Macaca fascicularis: one gene and its partner. Each later gene encodes a partner of the first gene's protein in a complex. Links are inferred from orthologs where the notes say so. Each region holds a gene or a part of one and is shown on either strand. Other genes may lie near its edges.

Region 1 (4,080 bases):
CTTCCCTGGCACTCCTTCTCAGTTACGGGTGCTGGTTCTTCCTCATCTCTTCTCAATATTCCCTCTCTTCCTCTGGGTTGTTGCTGAAGAACCATCTCCCCTCACCAGAGCACCCCATTCCCCTTATGGATCATCTCCAACACAGCACACATCACCACCTGATACTTGTTTTTGGGATGTTCACTGCTTGTCTCCTCACCACACCATAGAATCCATGACCATGGCCAGGCGCGGTGGCTCACACCTGAATCCCAGCACTTTGGGAGGCCGAGGCAGGCGGATCACCTGAGGTTGCAAGTTCGAGACCAGCCTGAGCCACAGGGAGAAACCCCATCTCTACTAAAAATACAAAATTAGCTGGGTGTGGTAGCGCATGACTGTAATCCCAGTTACTCGGGAGGCTGACACAGGAGAATCACTTGAACCGGGGAGGTAGAGGTTGTGGTGAGCCGAGATTGTGCCATTGCACTCCAGCTTGAGCAAAAAGAGAGAAACTCCATCTCAAAAAAAAAAAAAAAAAAAAAAAAAAAAAAAAAGAATCCATGACCACACAGATTTCTGATGTTTTACATCCATATCTCTGGCATCTGTATCTGCATCTCCCGGCATGCAGTGACATTTAGTAATGTGTGATGAGGGACTGACTCGGTTTCCAACCTGCCATCACTGGAGTTTCCCAGGACTCAGTTCTTACACACTTCTCTACTTCCCTCTCATCCCACTGTCTGCCTGCTGGCAATTTCCGTTTACGCCACTAGCCAGATACTCCCAGGAAATCTAGGCTCATGTATCTGACTGCTTAGTTGACCTCTCCACTTGAATATGTCATAAATAGGCATCTCAAACTTAATTATATTCAAACTTTCATTCCCAGTTTCCCATGAGCACCGCAGCCTTCCCCATCTCAGAAAATGGGAAGGCTGTTCCTCCAGTTGCTCAGGCCAAAAACCTTGAATTCAATCTTTCTTCCACTCTCCACTGAAATCTTTCCAGCAGCTTGTGCTGCCGGACCTTTGCACTTGCTATTCGGCCTGAAATGCTCTTCCTGCAGATACCTGCAAGGTTGGCATCCTCACTTCCTTTGGGTCTGTGCTCAAAATTCACCTTATTAGAGAACACTTTCTGAACCACTCGATATATCCAATTAAACACCCATTCCCCCTTTCTCCTTGTCCTGCTTCAGTGATCTCTGAACCATTTATTGCCACCCAACATACTATACATGAACCTATTTCTCTGTCTTTAGCCATTGGTATATATATGTTCTTCAAGAGTAAGGTTTCAGCTGCTCTGTTTACTGCTACTACTTCCCAGCCTAAAAACACTAGCCTAAACAGCCTAAAGTAGACGTCCAGTGAATATTGGTTGAATGAATTCACCTGTCTATTCCCACCCTAACAGTGGGGGTAAGGCCACCCTTGCAGGGTTGAGAGGATTAACTGAGACAGCCTCTGACAATGCCCAGTGAACACTCAGCAAATATTAGCAGAAGTAGGAAAACAACCTGTCTTTTGGACTACATGCTCCGAGAAGGGAGGTGACCTTTATTTCCCTCATGAATTTTATAACCCTTCCAGTTCCAAAAAGGATGAGAGGCAGTGCAGACAGACATCATTCTGTTCGGCTGAGGTTCAATGAATGGCCTTGCTGCTCTCAACCTCTTCTGGGTACTGTCCCCCCAAAGAAAAGGCGGGTGGGAGAATGGAAAGATATTTGCATTTTCATGCATATTAAGTCTCCCACAAAGATGGCTCTTTGTTTTCTTATGGTTTGCAAGTTCCTGAGGACTAGAAATCGGCGAAGGGGGAGGGGAGAGCGAGTGTTCTCAGACTGTTCTTCCCATCCCCTCCCAAAGCTAATCTCATTCTAGCACTGCACTGCTTTTCCAAACTAGCTGTTGTATGCAGTCCCATTCATCCCTTCTCTCCAGAACCTGACACCTGTGGCTCCTGCAAGTGGAAGGCCCGGGAATGGGGATGAAGCGGGGCGGTGTGCAGGAAAGAGTCATGCTCGGGGAGTCCTTAAAATTCTCCTGGAGGTCGGCAGCGGCGCCCGCCTGTAGCCTCGGGCCTATAGGCTTCGCCGCCCCTCGGCCTAGAACACAGCCCGGCCGTTGTGCTTGCGTGAGACGGCGGCCTCAACCACCCAGCGCCTCTGGGGATCCGGCCTCCGGTGCTGGGCCCGGGAGAGGGGGCGCCTGGGCACCGGAAGATCCGGAGCGTGCGGGGCGTGGATCGAAGTCTCCAGACCCTGGGCGGGGGAAAGGGGGAGGGAGGGGAAAATCGGGGAGGCCTGAGCTTCCAAACCATGGTGGGGGAGGTGCAAGAGCGCGTCCTGGACCCAGATCCGAGAGGGAAGCCTGGGCCCCAGGATGAAGGGGATGAGAAGGTGCCCGGGTCGCGGACCCGACTGGGGAGGGACGACCCCGGCCCCGCACCGTGACGCGGAAGTGGGATCCCCTCCATCCTCACCTCTGAGCATCGGCTCGGGCCGCGGAATTACGGCCACCACCATGGCCTCCTCCTCGTCCTCCCCTTCCTCGCATTTGAGCGTCACCTCGAAGCAGTCGAGTGCGGCGCCCTCGGCCTTTAGGGCCATGGTGCGGCCGTGAGCGATAGCGGTGGCCGGAGAACTGGCGCGCAGGCTTCGCCGCGCAGCCGGCAACCGCCTCCCGCCTCCTGGCCGGAACAACGCCGGGCCCGCTGCCCGCTCCGCGCAGCCCCCTCCCCGCCACCTGCCCGCCTGCCGCTCGCCGGCCGGCGCTGCAACCGGCGCGTCCGGGCCTCCCCGAGACCTCGGCGCGTCGGGAGCCCGGGCGGGGAGGGCTCAATCCGGGGCCCCTGCCCCCCGCCGCTCCCTTTTATGGAGGCTCATTGTCGGCGCCCGCCCGGCCGGCCAGCCGCGGACCCGCCCCCGATCCCGCGCGACCAATCGCGCGTGGCCCCGCCCCGGGCACGCGGCCCCGTTGGAATCCCTCGACCCAGGAGGCGGCGGGAAGGGCCGAGCGGACCCGGGGCCGCCCAGTGCGCGGAGGCAGAGGGGCCCCCAAAACCCGCACCGCGGACGTCTTAGTCGACTGGCCAAGCCCGGGGGTTTCCCTCCGTTCAGAAGTCGTTGGGCGTTTCTGCTGGCGTGGAGAGCGCTACCAGGTGCCCCCGGATTTTGATCCGGAGTCGCTTTTGCCTTTCCGTGGACAAGCCTTCCTCCGCCAGCAGATGCCCCGGGCAGGAAGAGAAGCGGTGGGGGAGTGGAAAGGGCCTTGGTATGGAAGCGTAGAGACCGAATTCCTTCTCATGTGCCGGCTCTGTGGCCATGGGCACATTATCTGTTTTATTAGACCGGCTCATCGTTTCTTTCAAAAAGCATTTCGGACCTTTCTGGGAAGGCAAAGAAGAGGAGCGGAGTGGACTGTGAGCGGACGTAAACCACCCCGATGGGTATGATTTCCATTTTTTACACGTGAGTCCAGAGATTTTGTGACCCTCTCCAAGGACATACAGCAATCCCTTGAGAGCCCCAAGACCAGAGTCCAGTTGCCATGACATTGCTTCCCTATAACCACACTCTGGGTGAGCTTTTACTTCTGTGACATGGAATGTGCATCTCCCTCTTCTATAGCAACCCTCATGAGATTTCAGCTCAGAAAATGCAAAATGTCTGACACTGAAAAAACATCTTCAAATGTCGTTATATCAAACCAGACACAGTAGTATTCAGAATCGCGTAGTAGGATGGGGGTATGAGAAGAGGTGTGAACTAGTCTATATGGATTGCAGTCAATTTTTTTTATTATTATTATTTTGAGACAGAGTCTCCCTCTGTCACCAGGTTGGAGTGCAGTGGCGCCATCTTGGCTCACCACAACCTCCGCCTCCCGGGTTCAAGCGATTCTCCTGCCTCTGCCTCCCGGGTAGCTGGGACTGCAGGTACGTGCAACCACGCCCGGCTAATTTTTGTATTTTTAGTAGAGACGGGGTTTCACCATGTTGACCAGGATGGTCTCGATCTCTTGACCTCCTGATCCGCCCGCCTCGGCCAAAGTGGGATTACAGGCCTGAGCCACCGCGGCCGGCCTTGCTG
Region 2 (4,221 bases), on another chromosome or scaffold:
ATGCTAGCAATTAAGGAGTGCAACCAGTAACGTTATAACTAAGTGCAATCAGGTAAGTCACTCGGAAGTGAAAACCATCTAAATAAAAACCAAATTAATAACTCTCATCAATATGATAGCCAAATTTGAGACACTACCCACAAAATGCAGAGGGGCACACATCAGCCACATCAATATTGTGATCCCTCAGTTCACAAGAGAGACACACAATTATCTGAGATACACTGTAAGGACACCAATGATCAACATATGGCATCGCAATGGCTGTTCCAGGGAACATCCATTTTCACTGTTCCCTGGATTTCAGGCATAAAAAGATGACTGAAGACATATACTGGCCCTTTTACCTTAACCCAATTCATAACCATTGTAAAAGTAACCATTTCGCTACTCAAAAGATTATAAAGAAATTCTATTTTTCGTAAGAATCTACGATCTACTAGCACACACATACTGTACCTTAATATATAATTATCAAATCTGAAAACAAACGTTCTGCAAATTACCAGCTACTACAATATTTTGGTGTTTGCCTTTTAACTAAAGCTGATGGGGGGAGTAGGGAGGTTGGAAGAATACTCATTTTACCTGCCCTTCCCAAATTTCACTTCAAAAGAGTGTTTAAAAACTCAGTATGTCCAGATATAAATCTCCAAGCTTAATTTTCACTGTTTAACAAAAGCGATGTAGAAAGCAATTACTGTACCCTCCATCAATCCTTTCGGATTGCACAGAATTCCTTCCAGAAAATTCCAATAGAAAAAAAGTTAGACAGGTATTCGCGTTTTGGTGCGTAAGTAGTCTTTGGCACACGTCATGTAGCGTGAAATCCTTTAAGACATTTAAATGTTCCTGGTATTGTTTTGCGATGAACGTGATAAAATAGTCAAACAATCCATATTTACCAAGAGTAAAAACACTTCCACCACGCACGGAAAATCTCTCCAAAACACAAAATCTGATTCAAAAATTATAAATAAAAAGAGAATAAATGTAAAAACAAATGCATAAACAAACTTCGAAATGCGTATGCGATGACATTACTGAAGCCATTACTCAAAACGAACCTCTGTAAAATCGAGAACGCACAATCAATGCAATAAGATGCTCGAGAAAGCCAAACCCGAGGCGCTGCGCAGTTCCCGCATCGCACAATTCATTTCAACACATTCCTTGACGAATACATCCAAGGTCACTCACGATGGAGAGGAAAGTGCCTGTCTCTCTCCAGAGCACGCAACCCGTTCGCCGCGCCCCCACGGAGGGCGGCGAGGAGACGGGCGCATCAGGAAAGGGGCTGCGCGGGCGCGAGGACTGGCCGGTGGGCGTTCCGGCGCCGCGGAAACCCGCGCATCCGCGGAGCCCGCAACTTGCAAGGTCCGCGGCCATCCCCCGGGCCTGGGAGGGGTGGCCCGAGGGCAGGCCCGCGTCCCCGGGGTGACCCGACCCGCCGCGCCGGGGTCCCGCCCCTCCCCCCGCCCCGCCCCCGTCGCCGGCCCGGGATTATGCAACGCTCCCCCTCCCCGCCCGCATTCTGGCGCAGCGCCCCCTCCCCGCGCCCGACTGCGCAGCGCCGCCGCCCCCTGCCCGCGGGCCTCCCCGCCCGGCTCCAAACAAAGCGCGCGCTAAGGGGCCGGCGGCGGCCGGGGAACTGGGGACGGGAGGGTGGCGGCCATGTTGGCGGGGGGCGGCGGAGATGGGGGGACTGAGGAGTGGGGGCCGGCGAACAAAGGAGCGCGCGCCCGCCCGGAGGCCCAGGCCCGCCCCGCCCGGGTCCCCGCCGTGGCCCGGCCGGCAGGGGGCGCTGTGCGGGCGCCGCCCGCTGGACAATGCTCCGCCGGGCCCCGCGCGGGCCGCGCTCACCTGCGCCCCCGGGCAGGCCGCCGCACCCCTGGCCTGCCGGCGGCCCGCACCCTCTCACGACCCACGCCCGCCCTGCGCGAGCCTCACCTGCTGGCCGCTGCGGCTGCAGTCCACAGGCCCACGGGTTCCGCCGTCGCTCGTTCGCGCTCCCGCCGGCCCCAGCCCGAGCCAGACGGCGCCTCCCCGCCCCCGCTCCCTCGCCGCGGACGCCGCCCGCCCCCCAGCAGCCAGGGCGCACGCGCACTGCGCCCGCCGAACTGCGACGGCCGCGCCGCCCCGGCGCCTGGCGCCGACGGCCGACTGCGCAGGCGCAGTGGGGCGGGGCGGGGCCGGCGGGGGCGGGGCCCGGTCCTTCTCACCTGGCGGGCGGCAGGGCGGGGCCGGAGACCCGGAATGCCAGGTGCGCGAGGTGAATGGGCGGTGGCAGGCGCGCGGAGCCCAGGCGCCTGAGGGGGCGCAGCTTCTCCCGGAAGGCAGGCAGCCTCCGAAGGACTTCGTTTTTGCGCAGGAGGACGTTGAAGAAAGGACAAGCCCCCTTTGTCCTGGGACGTAAGCCGCAAGTGGTCCTGAGTAGTGCACACCGCGAAGACTGAGGAAGCTGGATCACAGGGCTGGGCCGTGAGCCCTGAACCTTGGAGAACGCCGCATTACTGCTCCAGCGCGCCGGTTCAGGACCGCGGGACGCGAGCCCTTTAAAAGGATGGATTTGCTTCCTGTGACTCCCTGGAAGAGACGTCTTCACCACCGCACTGCGTAGAGGCCGGCGTCGTCGCCCGCTCACCTCGCTTGCTGCCTCCCCGCACAAAGCCCAGCCCAGGTAGCTCAGGTTAGCTGGAGCCCCGGAGCCTCACCTACAAATAGCTGGCCTGGCCTAGGTTGTGTGGGGACGGGATGTGGCTTCTGCAAGCCCAGAAACCTGTTTCCACTCCCCCACCAGAAATGGAAGTCACCCAGCTCTACTCGCAAGGTTAGGAGCCAAAAATTCCCATGATCGCACGCGAATTCATTTGACTTCCGTTTCAGTTAAGATGCCTTTTCAGCATTTTGTTGCTTGTTTGCAGGAGAAGGGAGAGAGGTAGCGTCAAGAATAGTTTTTACTCCTGCAGAGTCGAGTGCAGGACTTGGAGGCTGAGTTCAGGCGCTCTCCCTTCCCCGCCAGCCCCGTGTCCTGCAGCAGGTCACTGACCCGGTTCCTCGAGTGCGACAGCGCAGCCTCATCGTAATAAACCGCCTCCCAAAACGTTGTCAGATCAAATTTCAGAACATGGTATTGGAAAGCACCTTAAACACTCTAAACTGCAGCACAATTATTAGTTAGCAATACTCTTTGGGGTTTGACTGGCACCTTTTCTTCCAAATAAGAGTGATAGATTCCTACTCAAACAAATGGAAATGCTTGTCTCAGATGACACACTTGGCAGGCATGGGACGTTCACAGGCCAACTAGAGGGCTGATTTCAGTACTGAGGTATAAAAGTGTAATGCTGTACTTACAAGTTCCCAAGTGTTGAGAAATTACTCACTCATTTGTGTATTTAATGTCTTTTTTGTGTGTTTGTTTAGACGGAGTTTCGCTCTGTTCCCAAGGCTGTAGTGCGGTGGCATGATCTCGGCCCACTGCAACCTCTGCTTCCTGGGTTCAAGCAGTCCTCATATCTCAGCCTCCCGAGTAGCTGGGATTACAGGCGCGCACCACCATATCCAGCTAATTTTTAAAAATATTTTTAGTAGAGGCGGTATTTCGCCATATTGGCCAGGCTGGTGTCAAACTCCTGGCCTCAAGCAATCCGCTGGCCTCAGCCTCCTAAAGTGCTAGGATTACAGGCGTGAGCCACCGTGCCGGCCTGTTTAATGTCTTATAGTGGGATTATCTCAGAAACAGAGGAATGGGAAGAAGGTAGGTGCCAAGAAATCTGCTGGTTGGAAGATTTCATCTCGTTGGTGAGACCCCTGGGTTTCTCCACCTCAGCACTGTTGGCTTTTGGGATGGGATAATCCTTTCGTGTGGGGTCGGTCCCATGCTTTGTAGGATGTTTGACGGCATCCCTGGCCTCCACCCACTAGATGCTAGTAGCACACACGCTCCTCCAAAATTCACAGAAAACGTCTTCAAAGTCAAATATGTTGCCCCACCTCCATCTCCATCCGCCAACCCCTGATTTAAAATGTGCCACTAGTAATGATCACATTGGGAGCTGTTGAGAATACGCAGGACTGTGGCTTACACCTGTAATCCGAACACTTTGGGAGACTGAGGCTGGAGGATGGCTTGAGCCCAGGAGTTCGAGACCAGCCTGGGCAACACAGCAAGACCCCAACTCTAAAATAAATACAATTTTAAAAAATTTTACAAAGGCC

The links. The genes of interacting proteins can lie anywhere in the genome.
Region 2: the proteins of SPINDOC (region 1) and SPIN1 are in contact, whole or in part, in a crystal structure (PDB 7CNA), measured with the Homo sapiens proteins. The link is inferred for Macaca fascicularis from reciprocal best matches to the Homo sapiens genes SPINDOC and SPIN1. Residues at the interface, in NP_612480.1 of Homo sapiens: Phe256, Ala258, Pro259, Ala260, Val262, His264, Phe265, Thr266, Asp267, Ser269, Phe270, Pro271, Gly273, Phe274, Val275, Leu276, Gln277, Leu278, Phe279, Ser280; in NP_006708.2 of Homo sapiens: Met154, Thr169, Tyr170, Glu171, Pro174, Pro206, Val209, Val210, Leu213, Lys216, Gln217, Val218, Glu219, Tyr220, Thr229, Val232, Val242, Tyr243, Ile245, Phe247, Asp249, Asp250, Tyr254, Val255, Tyr256, Asp257, Leu258, Val259, Lys260, Thr261.

What each region holds. Positions count from the first base shown.
Region 1 is NC_088388.1:10,595,634-10,599,713, forward strand, and holds the start of SPINDOC (spindlin interactor and repressor of chromatin-binding protein), read right to left. Parts: upstream 2,834-4,080; 5' UTR 2,599-2,833; coding exon 2,472-2,598; intron 1-2,471. UniProt on the Homo sapiens protein: Chromatin protein that stabilizes SPIN1 and enhances its association with histone H3 trimethylated at both 'Lys-4' and 'Lys-9' (H3K4me3K9me3).
Region 2 is NC_088389.1:118,702,068-118,706,288, reverse strand, and holds the start of SPIN1 (spindlin-1), read right to left. Parts: upstream 2,812-4,221; 5' UTR 2,223-2,811; intron 2,075-2,222; exon of another isoform or gene 1,951-2,074; intron 1,395-1,950; exon of another isoform or gene 707-1,394; intron 1-706. UniProt on the Homo sapiens protein: Chromatin reader that specifically recognizes and binds histone H3 both trimethylated at 'Lys-4' and 'Lys-9' (H3K4me3K9me3) and is involved in piRNA-mediated retrotransposon silencing during spermatogenesis.